7 linked regions of the Macaca fascicularis genome follow. The protein of the gene in region 4 purifies or fractionates together with the protein of the main gene of each other region. This does not show direct contact. Links are inferred from orthologs where the notes say so. Each region holds a gene or a part of one and is shown on either strand. Other genes may lie near its edges.

The links.
Region 1: the proteins of U2AF2 (region 4) and HNRNPM fractionate together in Homo sapiens (co-fractionation; 4 studies listed by BioGRID, with this or other methods). This does not show direct contact. The link is inferred for Macaca fascicularis from reciprocal best matches to the Homo sapiens genes U2AF2 and HNRNPM.
Region 2: the proteins of U2AF2 (region 4) and SRPK1 purify together in Homo sapiens (affinity purification with mass spectrometry; 3 studies listed by BioGRID and IntAct, counting the BioPlex papers as one, with this or other methods). This does not show direct contact. The link is inferred for Macaca fascicularis from reciprocal best matches to the Homo sapiens genes U2AF2 and SRPK1.
Region 3: the proteins of U2AF2 (region 4) and HNRNPF fractionate together in Homo sapiens (co-fractionation; 3 studies listed by BioGRID, with this or other methods). This does not show direct contact. The link is inferred for Macaca fascicularis from reciprocal best matches to the Homo sapiens genes U2AF2 and HNRNPF.
Region 5: the proteins of U2AF2 (region 4) and ACIN1 purify together in Homo sapiens (affinity purification with mass spectrometry; 3 studies listed by BioGRID and IntAct, counting the BioPlex papers as one, with this or other methods). This does not show direct contact. The link is inferred for Macaca fascicularis from reciprocal best matches to the Homo sapiens genes U2AF2 and ACIN1.
Region 6: the proteins of U2AF2 (region 4) and SRSF1 purify together in Homo sapiens (affinity purification with mass spectrometry; 4 studies listed by BioGRID and IntAct, counting the BioPlex papers as one, with this or other methods). This does not show direct contact. The link is inferred for Macaca fascicularis from reciprocal best matches to the Homo sapiens genes U2AF2 and SRSF1.
Region 7: the proteins of U2AF2 (region 4) and SF3B2 purify together in Homo sapiens (affinity purification with mass spectrometry; 3 studies listed by BioGRID and IntAct, counting the BioPlex papers as one, with this or other methods). This does not show direct contact. The link is inferred for Macaca fascicularis from reciprocal best matches to the Homo sapiens genes U2AF2 and SF3B2.

Annotation. Positions count from the first base shown.
Region 1 is NC_088393.1:9,177,051-9,180,066, reverse strand, and holds part of HNRNPM (heterogeneous nuclear ribonucleoprotein M), read right to left. Parts: intron 1,544-3,016; coding exon 741-1,543; intron 122-740; coding exon 70-121; intron 1-69. UniProt on the Homo sapiens protein: Pre-mRNA binding protein in vivo, binds avidly to poly(G) and poly(U) RNA homopolymers in vitro. Involved in splicing.
Region 2 is NC_088378.1:135,782,436-135,786,209, reverse strand, and holds part of SRPK1 (SRSF protein kinase 1), read right to left. Parts: intron 3,104-3,774; exon of another isoform or gene 3,102-3,103; coding exon of another isoform or gene 3,076-3,101; coding exon 2,957-3,075; intron 1,117-2,956; coding exon 1,008-1,116; intron 309-1,007; coding exon 221-308; intron 1-220. UniProt on the Homo sapiens protein: Serine/arginine-rich protein-specific kinase which specifically phosphorylates its substrates at serine residues located in regions rich in arginine/serine dipeptides, known as RS domains and is involved in the phosphorylation of SR splicing factors and the regulation of splicing.
Region 3 is NC_088383.1:52,665,944-52,669,717, forward strand, and holds part of HNRNPF (heterogeneous nuclear ribonucleoprotein F), read right to left. Parts: intron 1,544-3,774; 5' UTR 1,492-1,543; coding exon 244-1,491; 3' UTR 1-243.
Region 4 is NC_088393.1:63,623,337-63,627,110, reverse strand, and holds part of U2AF2 (splicing factor U2AF 65 kDa subunit), read right to left. Parts: intron 3,733-3,774; coding exon 3,449-3,732; intron 3,164-3,448; coding exon 3,077-3,163; coding exon of another isoform or gene 3,065-3,076; intron 2,810-3,064; coding exon 2,561-2,809; intron 1-2,560. UniProt on the Homo sapiens protein: Plays a role in pre-mRNA splicing and 3'-end processing. By recruiting PRPF19 and the PRP19C/Prp19 complex/NTC/Nineteen complex to the RNA polymerase II C-terminal domain (CTD), and thereby pre-mRNA, may couple transcription to splicing.
Region 5 is NC_088381.1:90,850,404-90,854,929, forward strand, and holds the start of ACIN1 (apoptotic chromatin condensation inducer in the nucleus), read right to left. Parts: upstream 2,834-4,526; 5' UTR 2,666-2,833; coding exon 2,354-2,665; intron 942-2,353; coding exon 876-941; intron 1-875.
Region 6 is NC_088390.1:48,706,186-48,710,593, reverse strand, and holds the start of SRSF1 (serine/arginine-rich splicing factor 1), read right to left. Parts: upstream 3,049-4,408; 5' UTR 2,940-3,048; coding exon 2,746-2,939; intron 2,338-2,745; coding exon 2,153-2,337; intron 1,786-2,152; coding exon 1,613-1,785; intron 1,413-1,612; coding exon 1,226-1,412; intron 853-1,225; coding exon 830-852; coding exon of another isoform or gene 814-829; 3' UTR 1-813. UniProt on the Homo sapiens protein: Plays a role in preventing exon skipping, ensuring the accuracy of splicing and regulating alternative splicing.
Region 7 is NC_088388.1:8,324,198-8,327,971, forward strand, and holds the end of SF3B2 (splicing factor 3B subunit 2), read right to left. Parts: intron 1,004-3,774; coding exon 904-1,003; intron 798-903; coding exon 612-797; intron 274-611; coding exon 202-273; 3' UTR 55-201; downstream 1-54. UniProt on the Homo sapiens protein: Component of the 17S U2 SnRNP complex of the spliceosome, a large ribonucleoprotein complex that removes introns from transcribed pre-mRNAs.

The sequences.
Region 1 (3,016 bases), about 54 Mb from region 4:
TGCTGCTGACTTGGCTGCATCACCAGTAAGCATGAGGGAGGCACCTAGAAAGCCGTTCCCAACACTTACCACACTCGTTGAATTTGTCCTTCAGCATCTTCCATGTGAAATCGAATGGGAGCTAAGGAGGAAGGAAAAAAGGGAGACTGATGTGTGATTAAACCAAATCCTAAGGCACGCCTTGCAGCTGACTCTGAGGGCTACACTAGATTTCTTACTATACCAAGAAGCTGGCTGCTCTTCAGACTGAGGCGATCAGCAGGGAACTAATAGGTCCACGTGGGACAAGGCTGTGAAGTGGCACAGCCAGCTCCCTCCCTGGGGCTCAGACTGTGGGAGCACTGTGCAGGATGGGACGCTTGGGCCTGTGGTGCGCAGCCCACAGTCACTAAATAGTGGCTAAGAGTGGCTGAGCTGGGGAAAATAATTCCGTTACAGCCACTTCTTTCCCTGGATCACTGTGCAAGACACAGTGCCTCTTCAAGCCAAGCAATCAGAAACTGCAGTCTCTGAGCTCAGAGTCTGCTCCATATTCTAGCGCAGTGGAGAAGCCCAGGCTCTTCCAGAACCCACAGTTCTCACATTCCTTACTTGTCCCACTAGCATAAAACGTTTGGGACAGGAGCAAGGAGATGTGGTCCTCTTTGGAGGGCGCCACCTCTGACTTCATCCTGCTGATCTTTGTCTCCCCTGTCCCCTCATGCTCACCACCACCAAGAAGTTCCCCAAGAGCCACTTACATTTCTCACAAATATCTGGCAGGCCTTCCTGGCCACCCCAGGAGCATGGCCTCCAGCTCCACCAAAGGAGCCTGCGAAACTTCCTCCAAAGTTGCCACGCTCCATCTCGATGGCACGGTCAAAGCTGGCACCGCCACCGCCACCCATGGCCAGGCCCATGCGCTCAATGCCAGCGCCCAGGGCCGGGCCCATGGCGGGGCCCATGCGCTCGAGGCTGTTGGCACCCATGCGCTCCAGGCCCATGCGCTCGAGGCTGTTGGCGCCCATGCGCTCCAGGCCCATCCGCTCCAGGTTGTTGGCGCCCATGCGCTCCAGGCCGGTGGCCATGCGATCCATCACGGGGCCCATGCGCTCCAGGCCAGCCCCCATACCTGCGGGCACCATGCGCTCCATGCTCAGGCCCATGCGCTCAATGGCAGGGCCCATGCGCTCCACGCCAGAGCCCATGCGCTCAATGGTCTGGCCCACACGGTCGATGGGAGCGGCCATGCGCTCAAGGCCGAAGCCCATGCCGGCACCCATGCGCTCCACGCCTGAGCCTATGCGCTCCATCGTCTGGCCCATGCGCTCGATGCTAGACGCCATGTGGTCAAGGCCCAGCGGGCCCATGCGCTCAATGCCGGAGCCCATGCGCTCCACGGAGCCCATGCGGTCCATGACCAGGCCCATGCGCTCGATCTCGGAGCCCACGCGATCCATGCCGTGGCCCAGGCCTGCGCCCATGCGCTCCATGCCGGCACCCCCGAGGCGGTCAATGCCAGGACCCATCCTCTCGATCCCAGGGACGCTTCCTCCACCTCCACCTGAAACAGGGACACAAAACACAGGTTGGTGTCAAGAACTTAAGTATGCGTGTGTACAACACGCCAGACCACTTCAGCTCATGGGCATGGATCGGGGTAAAGGCCCACCATAATTTACCGTTAAGACACCCCTCAAATGTTGACAACAGCTACAGCTGGGTGATGGACTCATGAGGGCCTCCCAGCATTCTCTCTGCTCTATGCCACAGCTGAGATTTCCATAACACAACTTCTAAAGAACACCCCTGTATGTGTGTCTGTGAGGTGCTAGTGTCTGTGACAAGCTTTGTGAACCATGGATGTCAATTCCTGAGACCTCTGAGGTTTCTCCATCAGCAGACACTGAGAAATGCTCCAGGGGGAGGCAAGGACACCCCCCACTCAGAAGGCCACCCAGGGTAATGAACAGGAGTTACGTGGAGACAAGTCCAAGTTACTCCCACCTTCCCCTCCCACCCTGTCCCTCTCGGATGCTCTGCTGGGGGCCACTCTGGCTGCGTTTCCTCAGCGCTTCCAGGGAACAGAGAAGGATTTTCGGCCACACCATCAAGCAGAGGTCAAAAAACACACACCGAGAGATCCTCTGTGTACAAATGCACACAACTGGCCACTTCTGGGGACCTTATTATTACAGAAACCAAATGATCTGCTGGCTTTGGAAAGAAGATGTTGATGGAACTGCAGACTGGGCTCTGGTGGCAGCTGGGGGTCAGCCAGCAGAACAAAGGGACCCCCCACCCGTAGTGCTTGCAACTCTGGAAAGCAAGGGTCTGGCTCCATCAGCAAGGCCACCCCTTTCCACATGCCGAGCTTGGGGCTCCTCCCCGAAACCCTGTCGTTTGCCTCTGAGAGTGGCCATCAGCCCAGAGCCAGCCTGTGACTGACCCAAGCAGCCTAGTCAAAAATTCCAATTCAAGAGGAAACTCAGCAGTTTCTCTAATTGGCTCTACAACTGACCACAGACAAGTCTCTCTGTTGCTCCGTACTTGCTTCCTTAGCTGCAGAGCAGCACACTGAGAGACAAAAAGCAGGCCCAACTTTAAGAATGTGTGACTTTCAGAGGGGAGACGTCTCAGAACTTCCCCACAGTATAAGGAACCTAGCGAGAATGGGCACTTTGCCCAAAGGCATCAGAAATGAGGTGGGGCGGCTGGATGTGGTGGCTCATGCCTGTAATCCCAGCACTTTGGGAGGCTGAGGCGGGCGGAACAAGGTGAGGAGTTCGAGACCAGCCTGGCCAACATGGTGAAACCCAATCTCTACTAAAACTGCAAAAATTAGCTGGGCATGGTGGCGAGCGCCTTAGTCCCAGCTAGTCAGAAGGCTGAGGCAGGAGAATCACTTGAACCCGGGAGACGGAGGTTAGAGTGAGCTGAGATCGTGCCACTGCACTCTAGCCTGGGCGACAGGGTGAGACTCCGTCTCCAAAAAAAAAAAAAAGAAAGAAATGAGGCAGGGCAACTCCCAATGCCA
Region 2 (3,774 bases), on a different chromosome or scaffold from region 4:
TTCATGTGTGTAATAATTCTAATCATAGCATTTCCCACCAGTTCCCTACTACATGCATGGAATGTGTAAATATTGTTGTCTTCCTTAACCTCTTTAAGGATACTAGAACTTTATAGAGAAAATTATCCATGCTGAGGAGTCTCCACTTGGTGTGCTTTAATTCAATGAAACTTGATATATTTATAATTCTTTGCATTCATACATATAATCTAATACTCACTGACTTCAGCAACCGGATTTCATCGAGTGCTGTTTCGGTGTAATGTTCAGCACTTTTAACTACTTTCATTGCCACAAATTTCTTCCCCCTAAGAAACAAACACAGGCAATTAAGACTACATAGCCTACCCTTACTTTAGGAAGCTAAGGTTTAGCTATAAGATGGTTAAAAAGGACAAATACTGATTTCATGTTTCCCTGTAGCCCAAACAAGCTACTTCTATGGGAACATTTGTACTTGTTAATGATGCTAACTGGCCAGATTTCATTTGTAGGAAGAATAAAAGATCTGTTCTCAGATAATCTCAGTTGTTGAACATTTTCTCTGAGTTAAAATCCTTCTTTTGAATATCTCCCTGAATTTCAAGCAAAACTTCAAAATGAGGATAAATAAGGGGAAAGATATTACCAAATTCCAAGTGTTCTGTGTATCTGTATATAGGCAAAAACTAAAAGGTTAATAGCTGTAATATTTTCCCACAGGCAGCCAGAAGAAATATTTGGGTGAAAAGAAAACGATAAAAATAACAAAAAAATCAAACGACAAAAGCTTTACCAGCATTAATTTAATCACTCTTGTCTCTAAAGTAGAAAGGGAGATATATAATACCGATTCTTCACGAAAGAAAAGTGATTTCTCCAAGAATATAGAGACTATTGCCAACAACAAAATTCTGATAAATGTATCAGGCTAGAGATAGATTGAAGTCTGGATCAGCAGTGGAAACTCAGACAAACATATTTAGACATCATCTAACTAATTTTTTTACAGAACCACTAAAACTTACTGAATATCCCATGATAACCATACTGTTGAAAAGTGTCCCCAGCCTAACTTTCGGATCACATGATATCTCCCATTGAATAGATCTCCAATTTTCACAAGATGATAACCTCCTGGAAGACACAGGGGAAATCAGAAAAACCAGGACGAGAAACAATGGTAAGAAAAGGCATTTTTACATCACATTTTTCAACATCTATATACCTTTTATCAACAAAAAGTTTCTTTTATACAATCAATTCAACAGAAGAAAGCCTTAATAGTCAAATCAGCCACATAGTATTACTGACTTCATGTTATAAAAAAAGTGAATAAGATTAATGATTTAGATTGAGCCTACAACAGGCTCATCCAAAAACAATAAAAAGGTTGTATATCACAATATTCTTGTCTCTCAATAATCCAGTAAGTTTATCTAAACATATATATCTAATATATATCTATTTATAATTACAGTCTCAGGTGTTTTTTAGGAGACAGAATAATTATTTAGCAAAAAACAAAACAAACAAAAACAAGTAAGCAAACGGGATTTTGTTCCTCTAAATAAAAACAAATAGCCCAGGTGCAGTGGCTCACGCCTGTAATCCCAGCACTTTGGGAGGCTGAGGAGGGTGGATCATTTGCGGTCAAGAGTTCGAGACCAGCCTGGCCAACATGGTGAAACCGTGTCTTCTACTAAAAATACAAAAATTGGCTGGTGTCATGGCGCGTGCCTGTAGTCCCAGCTACTCAGGAGGCTGAGGCAGGAGAATTGCTTGAACCCAGGAGGCAGAGGTTGCAGTGAGCTGAGATCGTGCCACTGCACTCCAGCCTGGGCGACAGAGTGAGATTGTCTCAAAACAAACAAAAACAAACAAACAAATGCCAGGCGAGGTGGCTCATGCCTGTAATCCCAGCAGGGAGGCTGAGGCAGGCATATCACAAGGTCAGGAGATCGAGACCATCTGGCTAACACGGTGAAACCCCGTCTCTACTGAAAAAATACAAAAAGTTATCCGGGTATGGTGGCAGGCGATTATAGTCCCAGCTATTCTAGAGGCTGAGGCAGGAAAATGGCGTGAACCCGGGAGGCAGAGGTTGCAGCGAGCTGAGATCATACCAACTGCACTCCAGCCTGGGCAACAGAGCGAGACTCCTTCTCAAAAACAAAAAAACAAAAACACAAAAAACAAACAAAAACAAACAAAAAAACCCAAAAATTAGCCAGGCGTGGTGGTGGGTGCCTGAGGCATGAGAATCGCTTGAACTCAGGAGTCAGAGGCTGCAGTAGGCTGAGACTCCACAGCACTCCAGCCTGGGCAACTCTGTCTCAAAAAACAAAACAAAAAAAACCCTAAAAAGCAGAAAACAGAGGAAGGCCTCAAAAAAGCTGCCAACAGTGGCAAGAATCAAGGTATTTTCATATTTATCTTTGCCAGCTGACAATAAGGGCCACGTTCTTCTCCTAGATGGTATGATACATTCCATTTTGTGTTCCTACCCAAAGACTCCGGAAAGTCTCATCAAGAAACAGAAAAGGTAACAGGCAACCTGATGACACCATTTAAGTGTCTGTAATTCCAGTTTAACTTAACAGCCATCACTATGAGAAAAAAAGTAGTAAGAAGGTATTTTGTAAAAATCTATATGCCAAAATGTTACCATGGTTATATGTGGTTGATAGCATTGCAGAAGGCTTTTACATTCTTTTCTGTTTAACACAGCTCTGGAATTTTCTAAGGTAAATATGTATTATAACTTTTAAAGAGGAAAAAGGTAAAAACATTTAATATAAAATCAGGCTTTGATAAATTAAGTCAGACTAAGAACAAATACTATTTCCTAAGTTTTAGAGAAAAGGATACAAGTAAACACCAATAAAACTGTGTTTATGCTGATAGATCAAACATCCAAATGAGAAACTGCAAATAGATGGATCATGTCTCACTTCATACCTCCTTATGAACTTACCTTTACAATAATCATTAGGATCTTCCTGCTCATCATCATCAGATCCCAGAATCTCCTCTTCTTGCTCTGGTAGATCACTCTCAGAGTGGGGAGCAGAGCCTCGGTGCTGAGTTTCAGATCTAAGAAATGATACAAAAATGCCCATTCCATTTGGACAGAAGAAAATAAGACATTATCAAATGCCGCCCTCCCCACAAAAAACTAAATCTTCAGATAATACGAACAGAGTATTACCAAGTGGCTGCCTAGGAAAACATTAGCTGTAGTTTTACCTCATGTTAGAAAAATACTTTACAACTTCAGTACATGATAAATCTGAAAAATATTAAAAAGTACAAAGGAGAAAAATTACTTGAATCTCAATATCCAAACATAATCACTGATAAACTACTGAATCTTCTTCCACTATGTTGCTGTATCTTCATAAAAATATTTATCTGTAATCACATACTATATAAACAAATTTGCATCTGGCTTTTTCTATCATAAACTTTTTTAATTTCTATGAAATCTCTTAAATCTTAACATGCAGGCTGGGCATGGTGGCTCATGCCTGTAATCCCAGCACTTTTGGAGGCCGAGGTGGGTGGATCACCTGAGGTCAGGAGTTTGAAACTAGCCTGGCCAATATGGTGAAACCCCATCTCTACTAAAAGTACAAAAAATTAGCCCAGTGTGGTGGTGGGCACCTGTAATCCCAGCTACTTGAGAGGCTGAGGCAGGAGAATTGCTTGAACCTGGGAGGTGGAGGCTACAGTGAGACGAGATACACTACACTCCAGCCAGGGCAACAAGAGCAAAATTCTGTCTCCAAAAAA
Region 3 (3,774 bases), on a different chromosome or scaffold from region 4:
CTCTGAAGTATACTACCAAAATGTTAATTGAGAAAAGCTGAAAATAGTTTTAGTTTACTCATTATCACATGCTAGAAGAAAATTTTGCATGAGAAAACACTGAAGAGGTAATTTTTTAATCCAGATTTCACAAACTCATGGTGCAAAATGGGTCCCCCAGCTTCCTCTATTATAACTGCTCTTAACTGCTTGTTGGCTGCCTGTGAAAATTTGATTGAAATAACTCAAATGTTCCTAACAAAACTAGTCATAGCCACCCATGCTGTTCTGCCCACTATAGCCGGCCCCGTAACAGCCACTCACTGACTGGCTCTCCAGGCCACTATAAGTGGCCTGGGCAGCAGACACCCCCATGCCTTGCATCACCTGGCTGCTATACGCCCCATTGCTGGCCCCTGTTGTTGAATTCAAGAAGAGTTCTATGTATCTGTGCTGCATATTGGCCCTGTCTTTGGACATAGCTGCCACAGCTTCTTCATGAGTAGCAAACTCAACATCTGCTTCACCCGTCACTCTTCCATCTGGGCCGATCTCAATATGGACTCTCACAGGGTTGAGAGGAGAGAAGAAGTTGTAAATGTCGTTCTCGGTCGCTTTGTATGGCAGACCCCTCATGTGGACACAGTGGCCTGTGGTGCTCTGCACTGTGAACTCACTGTCGCCATATCTGTGGTCATACATTCCGGAGAGACAGTAGCTGAGATCTCTCCCGAACAGGTCGGTGGTGAAGCCGTAGCCATCACTGAGGCCACTGTACTCCTCGTAGCCCCCGTAGCCTGTGCTGTAGGCACCGGGCCTCATCCTCTCCAGGCCTGCCTGCTTCACGATGCCAATATACCTCCTGGCAGTCCCGGGCCGGTCATAGGGCCCTGGCCGCTGCACGGACATGAACTTCAGAGGGGGATCTGAGTATGACCTAACTTCCTCCTGGCTGCTCTTAAACACCTCGATGTACCTGTGCCCTATCCTCTCCTTGTGCTTCCCTAGAGCCTTCTCAGCTAACTCCTGCGAGGCAAACTGCACGAACGCTTCCCCTGTAATCTTGCCTTCGGGGTCCACAGGCAATGTGATCCCGTTTGGCACGATTTCCAACCCTGAGAAGAACTGAACAATTTCTTCCTTTGTGCATCCAAATGGGAGTCCTCGAAGCCGCACGAAGCCATCGTTGGCGCTGTCGGCACTGTTGGGACCGCTGTGCTTCAACACCCAATCCATCTCGGTTCTGTGGGACTTGAACACCTCAATGTACCGGTGTCCCATGCTTTCCCTGTCTTTTTTCAGGGCCATTTTTACATCATCTTCTGATCCAAGTTCAACAAAAGCCTCACCACTCTGCCTGCCCTCTCTAGTATAGATGAAATGGACACCTGCGGCCCCATCATGAATCGTGCAGTCAGAGAGGAAGTTCTGCACGTCCTCAACAGAGCAGGACCAGGGCAGGCCACGGAGCTTGACCACAAAGCCTTCACCTCCCTCAGGGCCCAGCATCATGGACACTTGACAGGGTGGGTGTCAGGTGATCTTGGGTGTGGCTTTTTTGTGGCTGGGAAAAAAAAAAAAAAAGACAAATTTATTTAATATGCACAACAAAAGTATGCAACAGAAAATTTCCCCATTTTACAGATGAGAGAGGTAGCAAGACATTAAGAAATATACCAAATACAATTGAGAGCTAAGATTTAACTCCAGGTTTCTCAAAAAATTACATGAGCAGTCATAGGCAATTTGAAAAAAATCAGGAGTTTACAAGACAGGACGATGCATGTGAACGTGGTGCCTTGAACACAGAGAAATGTAAATTTCAGTCAGGTGAGAGCAAGCGCATTTCCTTGTTATATTTATTCCACGTTTGTCATGATAATTATGTGGCAGTTCACTTATAAGAGCACCTCAGTTCTTCCTAAACTATAGGCCTTACATTTGGTTAAACAGTAAATTTAGTAAATTTTATTGTTTATGGTAGGATACTTTTACTTTCATGAGAGGGGATGGGAACATAGCAGGCTGTTTTTAAACCACAACATAGGGTAAGATTTTCTAATTTTCTCATCGGCAGTAATGTTGCCAGGATACAAGACAGTAACGGCTTACAGTGTCTACAGAGGTATGATTTTGCTCCCAAATCGTCAATTCAAACTAAATATCAGATTCACCAGTTCACATAAAATATAGCAGAATTGCTGTCTTTTGCTTAAGATCTAGAAGAGGGCACCGGGAAGAAAGGGCAATCGCAAGAGGGCTGAGAAATGCCCTTCCCACCAGGGTGGTACATGGCACTTGGAAGTCCAAACTCAAAGAATAAGGCCAACTACACACTAGAAGGCAGTCTTCTGAGAAAGAGCAGCAGCTGACCCAGACGCCAGGGTATACAGCATAGCCAGCCATAAGCAAGAAAAATACTGCAGTATTATGGTGCCGAAGACATATTTTTGTATGAACAATGTCAAAGATGATGCTCAAAATGAGCACAGGAGTATATGGAAATCTTTTTTTTTTTTTTTTTTTTGAGACAGAGTTTCACTCTTGTTGCCCAGGATGGAGTGCAGTGGCACGATCTTGGCTCACTGCAACCTCCGCCTCCCTAGTTCAAGCGATTTTCCTGCCTCAGCCTCCCGAGTAGCTGGGATTACAGGCATGCACACCAAGCTATTTTTTTTTTTTTTTTTTTTTAAGTAGAGACGGGGTTTCTCCGTGTTGGTCAGGCTGGTCTCTAACTCCCAACCTCAGGTGATCCACTCCCCCGAGCTTTTTTTTTTTTTTTTTGGAGACGGAGTCTTGCTCTGTCTCCCAGGCTGGAGTGCAGTGGCGGATCTCATCTCACTGCAACCTCCGCCTCCCAGGTTCCAGTGGTTCTCTCCCCTCAGACTCGCGAGTAGCTGGGATTACAGGTGTGTGCCACCATGCCCAGATAATTTTTTTTGTTTTTGTTTTGAGACAGTCTCAATCTGTCACCCAGGCTGGAGTGTAATGGCACAATCTCAGCTCACTGCAACCTCCGCCTCCCAGGTTCAAGAAATTCTCCTGTCTCAATCTCCTGAGTAGCTGGGATTACAGGCCACCACACCCAGCTAATTTTTTGTATTTTTAGTAGATACGGGGTTTCACCATGTTGGCCAGGCTGGTCTTTAATTCCTGACCTCAGGTGATCCGCCCGCCTTAGCTGCCCAAAGTGCTGGGATCACAGGCATGAGCCACCATGCACAGCTGGAAATCTAATGTTTCAAAGTGTCATTTTACATCAAGCATAACAGGTACAAGCTGCTAGTCTTTTCAAGCAATATGGGCTCATCATGTGGGGAAAAATGCTCCATTAAAAAAAACCCACAGTTTAAAAAACAGACAAAAAGTATAGGTAAGTGCAATTTAAGAAAAGGAAAAGCAAATTCATAATAAATGAAATGCTCAACTGCACTAGCTTCAGGGAAAACTAAATTAGTAACAAGTAGTTACCATTTTGACTGATCATATTAGTAATTTTAAAGTTTGATGTAGCCAATGCAGATGACATTTATCATACAGTGCTTCGTTATTTCAAATTGACAATGTCTAAAAGGATAATTGTGTAAATCTTTTAAATCTGCCTGTGTCTACACCAGATTATAAAGACAACAAGACATGTCTCTTCTCCCAATAACAAGCATAATGACACAAATGAAACAGAACAGTATGTGATATCCTGAACACATCACCAAGACCAAATACCCGGCATTTACTCATGAACTGTGACTTGGCATGCAAGGGCTTTGAAAGTATACAGCCTAAGTAAAAGACGTC
Region 4 (3,774 bases):
GGCTCACTGCAACCTCCGCCTCCCGGGTTCAAGTAATTCTCCTGCCTCAGCCTCCTGAGTAGCTGGGATTACAGGCATGCGCCACCACACCTGGCTAATTTTTGTATTTTTTTTTAGCAGAGACGGGGTTTCACCACATTGGCCAGGCTTGTCTCCAACTCCTGACCTCATGATCCGCCTGTCTCAGCCTCCCAAAGTGCTGGGATTACAGGCGTGAGCCACCGCGCTCGGCCAATGCAATAAATTTAATATGTAAAACAGGTCAGCTGATCCCAAAGGCCAGGGTCTCTCCATTCCTTCTCTTCTTCCCACAAATGTTTCCTCAGCCCCTGCTTGAGCCAAGCTCCAGCCCAACACCAGAGAGCAGCCCTGACATACCAGCTCAAGGGACGGGGACTCTGGAGGGCATGGGCAGGAGCTGCAGTGAGAGGAGATGCTGCCGGCCTTCCCCTTGCCCTTCTCTAAGATGCTCCTTCCACCTCTCCAGCTGCCCCCCCAACCCTACTCTCCCACTCCGCCATCCCGACCCTGCTCTCCCACTCCGCCATCCCGACCCTGCTCTCCCACTCCGCCATCCCAACCCTGCTCTCCCACTCCGCCATCCCGACCCTGCTCTCCCACTCCGCCATCCCAACCCTACTCTCCCACTCCGCCATCCCGACCCTGCTCTCCCACTCCGCCATCCCGACCCTGCTCTCCCACTCCGCCATCCCGACCCTGCTCTCCCACTCCGCCATCCCGACCCTGCTCTCCCACTCCGCCATCCCGACCCTGCTCTCCCACTCCGCCATCCCGAGGTCCCAAGCGGGACCCTGACACCTGAGTTCCATCAGCCCTCATGCTGGGAGCACAGACCTGTCCAGCTAATTCATCCTCGACATCTCTACTGGGTGTCTCAGAAATCCAAAGCCAGCTAGCCGCCCCACCCCCGGCTCACCCCCACAACCTGCTTGTCACCCCTGCGTCTCACCTACCGTCCCCACCATCAGAGCTGCTACTGAGCAGCCCATAGGCCTCCCCCGCACACAAACACACCGATCACCAAAGTCTGGACACTTCCCAGGCACAAGTCTCCCTCAAATCCTTCAACTCTCCATCCCCTGCTGCTACTTTAAATCAGATTACCATCTTTCACCCAGTTTATCATGGGACACCTCCCCACCGTTCATCTTCCCAACTGCAGCCATAATCACCTCAAAAATGCCAGCACCACAGCACTGTTTTCTCTTTGAAAAGCCCACCACTCCAGGGGAAAGCCGAGCTGCTTCCACGACAAGGCCCCCCTGCCCAATCTGGCCCTGCACAGCCAGCCTTGGTCCTGACAAACCTGGCTGTGGCATCACTTCGGCAGCACCAAACCTGCCAGCCCCCAGCAAGGCCTCCTGTCCACAGCACCCTCTCTGCCCTCCTGCTCATCCCCATTCTGCCCTGCAGGGCTAAGCAGGGGAGGCAGAGCCCAGGGAAGCACCTGCTGTGCCTCCGCGCCCACCCCTAACCTCACCATGTGGGGCCATTTCCATCTGCCAGGCGTGACCACACTGGAGGCCTCTCAGTATTGCTTCCCTCCCATCTGGCTCAAAATAACCGGTCATTCTAAGACCCATGCAGCCCTCCAAGGCCTGCCACTCAGCCCGGGCCCCACCACCTCGCTCGCTCACCTGCTCACTGCCACCTCTTAACCTTGACCACCCTGAATGAACAGCACACCCAGGAATGCCGCCCCTGCCCCGAATCAACACAGCATGCATGTCCTCTAACAGCTGCATCCCCAGGACCTCTGCTGCACAGGACAGGAGGGACCTCTGTTCACTACTGAACCCTCAGCATCATCGTACCAGGCTCTGATGTAGACACTGAGGGCTCAGTAGTGAACAGAGGTCCCTCCAAGCCTGGTACGGTGGGAATTCCACACATACGCCGAACAAGGGGATCAAAGAGCAGGTCACACGCCCTCACCACCACCGTCTCACAAGGCAGACAAGGTGAGTTGGTTACACCTGTCACGGTGCTGGAGGTGACAGGACTTAGTGAGCTCTGAAATCAGACTCCGAGAACCTGAAACCTGCCAGTGTGAGCCACCCCAGCTGTGCCTGTCTCCTCCCACAATGGAGCTCAGGAGCTACTTAGAGGGCTCAGGGTGAGTGCAAACACAGCTTCAGCAGAGTGCCTGACATAGCAGACACCAGCAGGTGTCTTGGGACTGTTCCCAGCACTCTTCCCCACTCCACAGACCAGACAAAACCATTTGCACAAGCAAGGCCATATAAGAAGGGGGAGCAGGGCCAAGTTCTAAAGCAATACAGAGCTGCATTCCCCAACTACTGTCTCGCCTGCAGGCCTCAGACCGTCACCAACATCTCCTATGGCCAGGCCTGAGGGCAGCACTCAGTGATGGCACACACCTATATGCATGCTCAGCGAAGGGAGAGGGAGACTGAGGAGAGGAGAGGGACAGGGAAGAGAGGGAGAAAGGAGGAAAGAGAGAGAGAAGGGAGGAAAGAGAGGGCGAGAAGAGGAAGGGGGAGAGGGTGAGAAAGCTCTGAGCCCAGGGCCTCCTGACCTTTCCGCAGCCGGGCACCTCGACACCGTCCACAGGCCGGGGGATCTCGATGGACTTGACAAGCCCATACTTGCTGCACTCGTCCCGCACGTCCTCCACGATCTCCTCGTACTCCTCGTCGTCCAGCAGCTCCTCCGGCAGCACCATGTTCATGAGGCACAGGACCTCAGTCGGGTGGCCGCCCATCTGCACCTGGGAGCTCATCAGGCCCGGCACTTGCAGGGTCACTGGCGTCTGATTGATGGTGCTCTGTGGGGCCAGGGGAGGCAGGGGCGTCACAGGGGGCCCAGACCCAGTCTCCCTCTGCTCAAGCCTATGCCCCTCAGATGCCCACCCAGGGAAAAGGCCATCTCTTACACTTAAACACCTAAAGCTCCACTCCCCAACACTGCACTGAACGCCCCCCAACTGCCTTCCCATGAAAGCTGGGAGAAAGATCAGAAAGCTTGTCCCTAGCCAGCCCTCCCACCCCCGGGTCCCTCGAGCCAATGGAAGATGACGTGCCGGGGGGCTCACCAGCGTGGCATTCTTGGCTCCCACACTCGCCCTCTGGACCAGCAGCTTCTTATCCCCCAGCTGCATACCGTTCAGCCCCGCAATGGCCTGCGTTTGGAGGACGAGGGGTAGGGGTACGGGAGAGGTGGGTCAGGGACGGGGAGCCCAACACCTACCCCCAAGCCGGGGCATTGGTGGGGGAAGAGGGGAAGGCAAAGGGGATTAAGAGCCTGGAAAAAGCCAACACCACGGGACAAGGACAAGCCCACACGCAGGGCACTGCCTCAGGTTGGCCGCCTCCCGCCCCGTCCCGAGGAGGGGACACCACGGCTTGGCAACAGACGCAAGGCAGGGAAGGACAGACGCGGCAGCGGCCAGGGGCCAGGGACTCACCTGATCCGTGACGTTGATGTCCACGTACTCACAGAAGGCGTAGCCCTTGGAGAGCCCCGTGGCACTGTCCTTGACCAGGTTGAAGGCCTTGAGGGGCCCAAAGGATGTCAGCAGCTCTTTGACCTGCAGCGGCCGAGAGTCTATCAGGGCTGGGCTGAGATGGGGCCGGGGGGGCACGGGACTGGAGGGAGGCACGGAGGTTACCTGGTCATCGTTCAGGTAGTTGGGTAAGCCCCCGATGAACAGCTTGTGGGCAGAGTCAGGGACCACAGTGGACACAACCCCTATGGGCAGAGGAGAGAAGAACTTCAATTCCAGTACCAGGT
Region 5 (4,526 bases), on a different chromosome or scaffold from region 4:
CAAAGACTTGGATTTTTCCTTTAAGTATATGACACATTATAAAGAGGGGATTTTCAAAAACTGAAAGAAACTTTAAGAGACTGTGCAGCCTTATAATTTTTGGATTTTAACTGTGGAATAATTTAAAAGACATCTTATGCAGAAACTCAATAGTCAAAGCGGATAAAAGTAGATCTAATCTAGTTTAAGAGAGAAGTATGAGCCTTGCTTACTTGAGAAAAAGGTATTTATTTCCCCTAAGAAGCTCCCCAAAGCAGCTCCACAAAACCCCGAGAGCAGTTATAAACCCATGGGTTTAGTTTGACTTTTTCTCATATTACAGATAAGGAAATGGAGGAAACCAAGGCCTCCAAAGGTTAAGTTTCTTATCCTAAGTAAAGGAACTATTAGTAATGCTTATGAATAAGTGCATTGAGTTAGTAGTTAACACTAGTAATGGTGGGTGACTTACACAGGATTGAATCCTTGGTAAATCTACATCAACAAGAGTTCTTAATTAGCAACTATTTTCCTACACTGTCACATTGGTGGTCTACTTCATATCTATACTCAAAGACATCAACTACCTTTCCTAAATTCATGGCAGATAAATGACTTCAGATCTCTGTACTACACGTAATTAATGGAAGCCACACCTTTCTGCACATACCATTTCAATTATTATAAACTAATAGCGCCTTTGATTCTGTTCTTTACTCCAGGCCCTTGTATACAACTGGGTGATTCGAATTCAACTGTCCTGGTTTGAGAACATTTCTGACCAAGGGAACTTAGGAAAATAGTCGTGAGGAATTAAGCATGAAATATACAACACCACGTCCTGCCATGTGTCTGTATATCCAAAGAGCCCACTCCATTGAATAAACCTTTCTCACCTGGGAATTTGGCTGGAATGCAGCATGGGGTGTTGAGTGTTTCTGTAAATTTTCTAGCATTAGAGCCTGGTATAGAGAAGGGTAAAAGTCAGAAATGATGAGGAAAAAAAAAGAAAAACTCCCACCTCTACCACAACCTCTTAATTAAATGCAATGACTTAAATACACACAATTAAACTGTATTCCCCTTCCAGGGACCTGAAAATCCTTTACTGACACTGTTCTCATTCATCACCAGAAGACCCTTAAAGGTAGCCACGGTTACTGTTACTAAACGTACAGATATAAAATGCAGGCACACAGAATCAGTGACCTGGCTATGTCACAATATCAGTAATAGAACCAGTACTAAAATCCCTGTTGTCTTCTGCACTTGTGCCAAGTGCCCCTTCTAAATCTGATCATGCAGGTAAAACTACTTAAAAATACTCAAACCAGCAGCCATGGGGCTCCTGGTTTTTGCCTGATGGAATTACTTGGTCAAAGGGTTACCCAGGACTAGAGTCAATTTGTATAATTTCCAGTACTGTGGCACCTAGATTTACCAAATTTACAAAATTTTCAAAGAGGAGGCTACAGAAGAAAATGACCAGAGACCCTGTGAACTGTGGTCTAACCTAGTCCGTCCATCCACACACACACACACACACAATCAGCTTCTGTATAAGCAACGGTCTGCCAACTCAACCCTGGAGCCAACCCAGACCTAATCTGCACTACCTGCCACGTATCCTATTGAACTCTAATTAAAACCAAGACATCCTCATCTTCCCTTCTTTAAACCAAACCTATACACTCGAATCGATCTACACCTACCTCATGACATTCCCACCTTAATCTACTTAAACTGATTCAAAATCCCCAATATGTATCAACCTGCCTCGCCTCTCTCACCAATATTCACCAAACTCTTAACTACCCAAATTGCCACTAGATGCCCTATAAATTAGACACCTCTCTCATCAAGTCCCTTCACATAAAGGTCTCTCTTCATCTCACCTCATCTAATCGAGCAGACATTTTACCCTACCCCAATCCTATTCCTGCAGATACCGATACCAACCCCATCCACCCCTCCGCGCAACTATACCCCTAACTCCGACCCAGCCCAACTCGCCCCCCTCAGGCCAGCGACGCCGTAGGTTGTAGTGGGATTTAACTCCTTCTGCAGCGCATGCGCCGAAACCACAGATACAAACAAGGAGGGGGTGGGGGAAGGAGGAAGGAGCTTAAGACACTCCTGGAGAGTAGTGCACACCCTCCCATTTGGGCTCGCGCTGCTGCCGTTAAGGCGGGAACCGGCGCGATCGCCATTCCAGCGCGAACCTCACCAACCACCGTGCGCGCGGATCCAGAGGCTCGCGCTGGCGGCCTGAGCGAGCTCGCGCCGAGCCCGGATACTGCGCCTGCGCCGCGGCAGAGGCTCGTCTCTACCGGGTCCGCTCTCCTCCGACACCCCAGCAACGCCGACTCCTCACCCCTTTGAGCCGCTTGACCAGGGCACTCTTCTGCCCGCTCTTGGCTAGGCCTCGCTGCTCCAGTGCGGCCTTCAGGTCGGTCACCCGCAGCGCCTGAAGAGGCTTCCCGTCCAGAGTCACCTCCTCCAGCTCCGCCATCTTGCGTGAGGTACTCGGGTCCGTCCCGACGGCTTCGGGCATCTTCGGTAATTTCCGCCAACGCCCTTCGAACGTACCGAGATGACCCCGCCCACTGCCATACTCTACCCCTCGATTACCACTCAGAACTCCCCGGCTTCCTCCGGATGTCCTCGGATATTTCCGTCTCCACATCGGCACCAATCAATTCTTTCCATCCGCCCTGCAGCTCCCCTATTCTCGCCCTGCTTTCAGGCTCGGTTTTCTTCGTCTTGCCGAAGCTTTGAATCGAATATATTCGGAAGCCCTCGACTCTGGTATAACCATAATCGGAGATGTTCGTTTATCTCCGGACCTAGAGATGAGGCGCTGGGGCTCTTGGGTGTTTGGGGCGGGTCCGAGGCCGGAAGTGCGTGGGCTGCCGGGCTGGCCCAGCTTAGGGTTTTCAGGAAATTTGGAAGCTGCAGCGGTAGTTGGAGTCTAAGGACTCCTGACAATCTTCGGGTGCTCTCCGAGAGAAAAGGGGAGGTAAGCGGGGTGGAAGTACCTCTATGGGCCGGGTCAGACTCGGTGTTTGCGGACTATCCTAATAGGGCAAGCCACCTACTTCTTAACGCAAACAGCTTCTGCCCTCTGTCCTCTGAATCCCAGCCACTCCCATCTTAGGCTTTTTTTTTGGTGGGGCCTGTGGAGGGGGGCGGAATCGGAATAACAAGCTCCGTGGCCTCCAAAGTGGGGAAGAGGCAGGCAGCGCCGTGTCTTCAGACCCAGACTATGAACTGATTTATGACGCTCAACTTGAGTTTGAGTTTGCGTTTGCCTGGGAAGCCGTGTGGCAAGAAAATTCTCCATTTCTCCGAAGAAGAGAGTAAGTTCCCTTGGAGGAACTGCTTCCTGTAGGGCAAGAACTGAAAAATGCAAGCGCCCTGAACTTTTTTGGTACTTGAACTCATATTGTTTAGGGGCTTCTTTCTTTGTCACTAGCAATCCTCCAACTTGATGCAGAAGAAACACAAACAGTAAAATAGGTCACAGACAAATGGTTTAGAGATTTAAGAGATATGTTAGAGATTTAAGAGACTGAAAACTATTGAAGTCAAATAGGCTGATCTTTCCGTTGCATTCATGATGCAAAATTAATGTCAAGGCGCCGGGCGCGGTGGCTCATGCCTATAAGCACTTTGGGAGGCCGAGGCAGGCGGATCACTTGAGGTCAGGAATTGGAGACCAATCTGGCCAATATGGTGAAACCCCGTCTCTAGTAAAAATACAAACAAATTAGCCGGGCGTACGCCTATATTCCCAGCTGCTCGGGAGGCTGAGGCAGGAGAATTGCTTGAACCCGGGAAGCGGAGGTTGAAGTGAGCTGAGATCACGCCATTGCACTCCAGCCTGGGCGACAGAGCAAGACTCCGTCTCAAAAATAAATAAATAAATAAATAAATAAATAAATAAATAAATAGCAAGGCACCAATAGATGCCATACTAAAAAAAAAAAATTTTTTTTTGTCACTCCACTCTGGGTCATTCCACTCTGAACCAGGCTAGAGTGCAGTGGTGTGATCAGGGCTCACTACAGCCTCAACCTCCCGGGCTCAGGTGATCCTCCTACCTCAGCCTCCTAAGTAGCTAGGACTACAGTTAGGCACCTCTACGCCCAACGAGTTTTTAAATTTTTTGTAGAGATGAGGTTTTGCCATGTTGCCCAGGCTGGTCTTGAACAACTGGATTCAAGCTATCCTCTTGCCTCGGCCTCCCAAAGTGCTGAGATTACTTTGGAAGTGCAAGAGCCACTGTGTCTGGCCCATACTAAATATTAAGGGCAATTGTTTAAAAACATGGATTGTCATGAAGTAGTGTAACAGTTGTTAGATCTCTAAGCCAACAAACCAACTGGACTCTCTTTAAAGTCTCAAACACCCGGGCTTCTGGTTCTTTTACTGCGTTACCTTATTTTGAGCAAGGCTCTTACTCTGCTCTTTAACTTTTTCTGGTGCTTTACAGGAAATGTAAGGAGGTAACAAATGTTATGAAGTTCTTGGCATATTTCAGAGGC
Region 6 (4,408 bases), on a different chromosome or scaffold from region 4:
ACTAATTGGAAGAAGCATTTTGTATTTACAGTTCAACTGATAATGCCAACACTTGTTACTGTACAGCGTATTACAGGTTTCGTGGTTGCAAGAAGTTACGTAATTTAAGTTTACTGGCATTGCTACCCACCTAAGTCTAAAACTATATCTAATGCTCCCATTTGCAATTTAATTTGTAAATTAAAGTCTTTTAAACATATGAATCAATTATGAATATTAGTTTAAAGGGGAAGGTGAGACTTAAAAGTATTCCCAACTAGATTATCTACACCAATACATTGGAACTCTATATTTTGCTTTCATTTTGTCTTAAAAAAATGAAATAGCAACGCTCTATCAGTCACACAGAGGACATGCAGATTTAGCAGTATTGATATTATACTCTATCTTGTTGGATTTAAAGACACCCTGTACCCACATGTACACCAACAGCAGGTCACACATTAACAGTTGTAACTAAGCACTGTGACAAATTAGCCAGTTCTTCCCACATTAGTCCCTATTAAAACAAAAATGGGGGGAAGGGAGCAAAATAAGTTGCTACAAAATGGGCAATATAATTTTGCCACAATTGCCAAGGTTTAAAGAGCAAAGCAATTGTAGCTAAAGATAACTGAATAAAATGTTTGCAAGTGTTTTAAGGAAAACGTATATAATCATTTTTAACCCCTGCCTTTTAGTATAAGGTCAATACTGCCAATTTCATCTGTGACAATAGCACTTGGAGTCATACCATTGCCTCCATTATTGATCTGATCCTCCTCAATCCTCCTTTTGACAATCCTAAAATGATTGAAATGTGCTCCACAATCCTTAATCCAAAGCATTCTTAATCCATCTCTTCAGATATGTCTACAGAAAGACACATGAAAAGCAAGATAAACATAAGAACTTCCCCAGGTAAGATAACCACAAACACCCCCAACATCCCAGTTCACACAAACCAGGGCAGAATAGACATTTACACAATATCACAGTCTGAAGAGTATGGAGTTAACTAAATTTAAACAATCCTGTCTATGACATCACTTAAAATACAATTTATCGAAGACACGAGGGGAATGTAGATGTTAGGAGCAAGGGGATATTACAAGAATGCAATTCAACACTTTAGCCCATTCTGAACAAAACAGTTTGAATTAAAAAATGAAAAGATTGTACTGAATAAAGGAAAACTGTATACAACATGGGTTCTACAAAAAGTGTCACCAATCATCTTATGTACGAGAGCGAGATCTGCTATGACGGGGAGAATAGCGTGGTGATCCTCTGCTTCTCCTTGGGGAGTAACTGCGACTCCTGCTGTTGCTTCTGCTACGGCTTCTGCTACGACTACGGCTTCGAGATCGAGATCTTCCATAACTTGGACTTCTGGGCCCATCAACTTTAACCCGGATGTAGGCAGTTTCTCCCTATTGGATAGACAGAACTTTCCATTGAAAGATCTAAGCTTTCATCTATCTTCAGGCATGCTGAATGCATACAATGCAACTACAACCAGAAATCTGGCAATTTACTTGGACACCCTTGCCTGAATTCTTACCTTCAAATTCCACTGTTAAGACCACTGTATCCAATTCTGGTCAAAGAAAAGAATAAGCGTATAACCTACCTCATGAGATCTAAACTTAGTGTTATCCAGTTTTCGAACTGCATAGGTCATATCTTCTTTCCGTACAAACTCCACGACACCAGTGCCATCTCGGTAAACATCAGCATAACATACATCACCTGCTTCACGCATGTGATCCTTTAAATCCTGCCAACTTCCACTTGGAGGCAGTCCTGAAAAAGTGATTTTTTTTCTTAGTATCAATTATCTTAAATTTCACGTTAAGCTGGTAAGATACATTAGAACAAAGAGTACTTTAAAATACTTAATAGGTGTACTTAAGTGATACCAGGTAAAGAGCTGGTAAGATTCTGGGATCCAGAGTCCAAAATTATTTGTAACGGATCTTCGTATCTAGTACCGCAACCTAATTTGGTAAATCACCACAGCAGCAATCCTCGTTTATTAAATTCACCCAAAAACTAAAGCAATTTAACACCTAGCATGAAAAATTTGCAATTGTTAAACCGATCATGCAAGACAAAAATTTTAGGTAGCTTCCGTCCCTTCACATCAATCCACACAACAAAGTACACTCACCAGAGACAACCACTCTGTTTTCAGACCGCCTGGATGGGGGGCCATAGCGACCTCGGGGAGCTCCGCCACCTCCACCCCCGCCGCCGCCTCGGCCTGTTCCACGGCCGCTTCGAGGAAACTCCACCCGCAGACGGTACCCATCGTAATCATAGCCGTCGCGACCATACACCGCGTCTTCCGCGTCTCTGCGGGATCGCAGAAAGTAAAAGGCATGAGAAAGACCAGGAGGAGAAGCTCGCTCAGTCGGGAACCCCCCGCACATGCGCACCCAACGTGGAAGAGCCCACATGCGCCGCATAATAGGAATGGCCCCTCCCCCACCCAGAAACACGCCAGGCTCCCAACCACTACACCAGCCCTCAGCGCCTCAGTTTCCCGCTCCAGCCTGCGAATGGGCTCCGGGGACGTCCAAGGCGAGGCGCCAGAGAAGCCACACCAACTCAGCTCCTTACTCGACTCCTGCATGGGCGATACAGTCTCGCCCCAACCTCTCTAAGAGCCCCCGCTTCCCCGTTCTCTATGTTAAGGCCTTGGAGCCTTCCCCGACTACTCGGACCTATTTCCTCAAGGCTGCAAGCCCCATGCCGCCTCACCGCGGGTCCTCGAACTCAACGAAGGCGAAGGGCGGTCCCCCGCGGCGATTCTTGAGGTCGATGTCGCGGATAGCGCCGTATTTGTAGAACACGTCCTCAATGTCCTTGGTTCGGATGTCTGGAGGTAAGTTACCCACGTAGATGCGGCAATCGTTGTTCCCTGCGGGGCCACGAATCACACCACCTCCCGACATGGCGGTGACGAAAAGCGCGGACTCGAGAACAGGCCTTCCCACCAAGCCTAGCGCACCGCAGAGCGAGCCCGCAGCGGCACCACGTCTCCCGCGGCCCCTCCAAAATGGCGCCTTTATCAGCTCGGCGCACGGATATGGGGGGGAGACAGAGGAAGAGAAGCGGAAGGAAACAGCGATTCGATCCCAACACGCACGCGCGGGAGCGCAACGGGTGCTGCGAGGGATACGCGCAACGCACGCGCACGCACGCGCGACGTCACCCTCCGCACGAAGGGGGAAAAAAAGTCCCCCGCGTTCCCCGCTTGGGGTGGTTTGCGAATAGAGTGAGCAGCCGTTTGGTAAAAGTTAAATAAAGAACTCTCGTTAAAGGAGCTAGTCATCCAGGTCGAGTCTTGAAGGATAGTCAATTTCCCCAGGAATGAGGAGCTTTGAAAGCAACTCGGCGCCTTCAAAGGACTTGGTGAAACCTAGCCTAAAGCCTTGTCCCACCATGCTCTGCGGCGATAACGGCCTTTGGCGGGAAAGAGACTCGGAGGCGGGGCTAAAGGGGGAGGGCTCGGGCCGTTGCTCCGGAAACCCGGGTATCTTCGTAGAGTGCGTCTGGTCCAGAGCTGAGTTGCCGGTGACTGAATAGAGAGCTGGGGCGTTGGTTTGTCTTCCCGCCCCTGCTGCGAACAAGCTGTGGCTGCTTAGACAGATGTGTCTAATTTAGCGAAACCGGTTTAGATTCCTTAATCCTTTTCATTAAGAACCATTCCACCTTCTCGTCAGAACTTTGCATAGCTCAGTTCAGCACTCTTTGTGCTAGTCGCAGTGGGCCCGTACCCCGACCTTTCAACGTGGTACCCGCCAACCAGAAGGGGTAACAGTACTGCTTCTGGTACCCACACCTCTTTATCTCTTGTTAATCGCCTATCCGTGGGACTAGCGCAGATTGCCTGCAGAATGAATTGTTTCTGTTGTTTCCTTTTAAAGAACGAGAAGGAAGAAAAGGTGCGTGTGTGCAGTCCTTTTTTCAAAAGTTTCCTCTAAAAGTTACTGAAATTGAAAATACCGGTCCTCCCAGGTAATAAAATGGACCGAAATGGATGAGAGCCGTATCCACTAGAGACCGCGGTTGCTATTCAGGACTGTGATCTTATTTGCCTGCGACATTGGGAGATAACATTTTACATTTTTTTTCGACGTCTGCAATCTGGATTTTTATGTGAAATCCTGGGATTTTTAAACGTCGCTAATGAATTCAAATTAAAATCAGGCTGGGCGCGGTGGCTCACGCCAGCACTTTGGGAGGTAGAGGCGGCAGATCACTTGAGGTCAGGAGTTCGAGACCAGCCTGGCCAACATGGTGAAATCCCGTCTCTACTGAAAAAAAAAAAATTAGCCGGGCTTGGTGGCGGGCGCCTGTAATCCAGCCTACTCGGGAGGCTGAGGCAGGAGAATCGCTAGAACCCTGGAGGTGGAGGTTG
Region 7 (3,774 bases), on a different chromosome or scaffold from region 4:
AAGAAGGGGCTAAAAGGAGATGAGGGAGGATCAGGAGTGTTACATATTCATCTCTTTCCTTGGGAAACAGCTTTATTTACAAAACAGGTCTAAAATAAGAACATGAAATGACAAGTCCTTGGGAACTGCGGGAGAGATGGCTCTTTTGTGAAGCCCAGGCATCCAGACGGAGGGCCAAAAAAAGGGCCAGCATGAGGGGACCTAAAACTTGAACTCTTTGTATTTCTTGCTGCCCCCACGGCTGTCCTGGGGCTGAGCTTTCCGTTTCTTTTGCTGCATAGGGAGAAAGAGACACAGGTTATAACAGGTTGAACCACCCCCAGACCCCCAAAACAAGGGTGGGCAGCCTGACATAGACATAGAAGTCTGTGGGAAAGGTGCTGAATCTGGATTCTCTTCGAGCTCCCTCTCAGACTTGGCTGAGTTCCTCCCCCTCATCGTCCTTAAAGAGGGCAGCCCACTGGAGGATTTCTAAGACTTCCAAATCTAAGCGCACAGGGCAGCAAGCAGAGGCCACCCTCACTCTCACCACTAGAGGGCACCACACCACTGAAAACGGCAGGCCAGGGTCCCTGGCTCTCACCCAGCCCAGCGCCCCTGGAAGCGCCTACCTTCTGTTTGGCAGCATGCTCAGCCACCATGTCGCTGAAGTCCTCCTTCTCTACTTGAGCCTGCTGCTCCCGCACATGCTCCTCATACTTCTGGGTCATGGCCATAGGATCAAGCTCCAACTCCTCAGGCGCCAGCGCCACTTCCACACCTTGCAGTTCAGGAGCTGGGCCCTTCCGGCTCATAACCTGGAAAGGAGATCAGGGCCTTGTCACCTCCAAAGAGAGTCAGAGAAGCCCTAGCTTCTGCCGCCCTTCTCAGCCTCCAAAAGCAGTATGTCCTCCAAGTACTCACCGTGGACATATCATAAATGTGGGTTGATCCCATCATGGCTCCCCCAACAGTGGCTGTTCTCTTCTCTGGCAACACGGTGAAGAGCTGAGGTGTCTCACTTCTGTGAAGGACAATGGGATCAGGCCCAAAAAGGAAGGGACAAAAGGGTCTCCAGAAGCAGAAACAAAAGATACAGGTGGCACCTCCACTCAGCGCCTTGGAGAGCTTCTGAGCTCCCCAAGGATGCAGCCTCTGCAGTTCATGGAAGCCCATGACAGAAAATAATTGGGCAGGGGGAAGGGGAGGGTGGCACAGTGCTGACTCCAGGGAACACAGATGGAGCTAAGGGGCCCCCTAAACCAAGTTAGGGGATCACAGACCAGGACTCCCACATGTACAGAAGGGTCAAAAGGTCAGAGAGGCTCAAAGTTTCCAAGAGAACTTTGGTACAGAGAAGCTAGCAAGAGAGAGCAGGTGACAACAGTTCCCACCCGAAGAATGTCATGCCTTGAGTTCTCATGTACGTAATTCACACTTCAGGCCTTCCGACGCAAGAGCCATCCACAGCCAGTTTCACCACTAATTTCAAGGATTACACTAGGAATAAGAGCACCTCTACCACTATTACCCCAGACTGTGTCCATCATCTCCACCTCTCCCACTGGAAGAGGTGACAATCTATTCTCCACACAAGAGCCAGAGAAAATGGCTTAAAATGGATTGCAGGTCCTGTCAGACCTTTGCTCAAAACCCTCTGAGGCTTCTGATCATTATCTGAATAAAATCTAAACTCCTTACCATGACCTAAAGGGTTCATAGCCTGATCCCTTACCCAAGCCCTCCTCACTATACTCTGTCCACAGTACCCTTCTTTATTTTTCTTCCTTGAATATGCAAAGCTTGAGACTTCTGCTTCCTGACAAGGAGCAACAGGAACCAGATACACCCTCCTGCCTGAAACAACCAAAAAATGGGCAAAATATATGAAACAGTGGTTTTCAAGACACTAGACATGGGGCAACAAAGCACAGTGATTCCTGCAAGATAGGAAACAAATGCAATGAGCCCTTCAACTGCCCCAGCATACTGCACCAAGAGTTTGCAGGCCACAGAACAGAGGGAAGACGCATGGAGAGCCCTGAGGACTCCATGAGTTGGGAGGATGAAGCTGAAAGTCCAGGGAGATCAAGGCAGCTAGAGTTCACAGGATAGAGTACTGAAGAAAAGAGCTGAGAGAGAACTCAAGAGACCTAGAGAAGGTCCTCAAGTATGCAGGGGAGTACTAAGCAGCACATGCCTACCAAGGACAGGGAAAGAAGCACCCGAAAGGATTCGTAACAGCACCTGCTGCTCACTCAGAACTGGGAATAGTGCAACTCCCACTAGCCAGACGGAAAAACCTCCTGATTCACAGGGCGGTGGGTAGAGTCCACAGGCACTTGTGCCTCACAGTGGGGAGGACTGCTTCAGTCCTGCCTCAAGAACCCCAAAAACAAGACCTGAAAGGATCAAACTAGCTCCATATAACTATATTCCTGAATGAGCTGAAGAAAATCTACAGGAATACAAAAATATCATGGACCCAACAAGGTAAATTTCACAAAGCCTAGCATTCAGTAAAAAATTACCAGGCACTGGACAGGTCTGGTGGCTCACACCTGTAATCCCAGCACTTTGGGAAGCTGAGGCAGGAGGACTGCTTGAGCTCAGAAGTTCAAGACCAGCCTGGGCAACACAGTGAGAACCTCTCTCAAAAGAAAAAAGGAAAAGAAAAAAAAATTACCAGGCATGCAAAAGAGTAGGAAAATACAATCCATATGAGAAAAATGAATCCACTAATGGCAATCAACCCAGAAATGGCACAGATGTTAGAGTTAGCAGACAATACATTAAAATGTTGTTACAGCCAGGTGTGGTGGCTCATGCCTATAATCCCAGCACTTTGGGAGGCTGAGACAGGCGGATCACCTGAGGAGTTCAAGAACAGCTCGGTCAACATGGTGAAACCCTGTCTCTACTAAAAATACAAAAAAAGTAGCTGGGTGTGGTGGCACACACCTGTAGTCCCAGCTACTTGGGAGGCTGCGGCACAAGAATCGCTTGAACCTGGGCAGCAGAGGTTGCCATAAGCCGAGATTATGCCACTGCACTCCAGGCTAGGCAACAGGGTAAGACTCCATCATAAAATAAAATAAGATAAAATAAAAATAAAATATTGTTATAACTGCATTCCACATGTTCAAAAAGTTAAGAGAGAAAGAATAGATTTAAAAGACCTGAAATCAAACTTCTAGAAAGGAGAATTATATTGTATGGGATTACTGTTAGACCAGAAATTACAGAAGAAAATAATAGTAAACTTGAACACATAGCAATAGAAATTTTCTAAAGTGAAATACAAAGAGAGAAGAATTTCTTTAAAAATGAAAAGCATCGGCCGGGCGCAGTGGCTCAAGCCTGTAATCCCAGCACTTTGGGAGGCCGAGACGGGCGGATCACGAGGTCAGGAGATAGAGACCATCCTGGCTAACACGGTGAAACCCCGTCTCTACTAAAAATTACAAAAAAATAGCTGGGCGAGGTGGCGGGTGCCTGTAGTCCCAGCTACTCGGGAGGCTGAGGCAGGAGAATGGCGTGAACCCGGGAGGCAGAGCTTGCAGTGAGCCGAGATCCGGCCACTGCACTCCAGCCTGGGCAACAGAGCAAGACTCCGTCTCAAAAAAAAAAAAAAAAGAAAAATGAAAAGCATCAGTGAGCAGTGGGACAACTTAACAGAGGAATAAGGTGAGAGGAAAGAGAAGGGAACAGAGAAAATATTTGGAGAAATCATGACCAAAATTTCCCCCAAATTAATAAAAACTAAAAACCCAGATCTAAGATGCTTTAAAAACC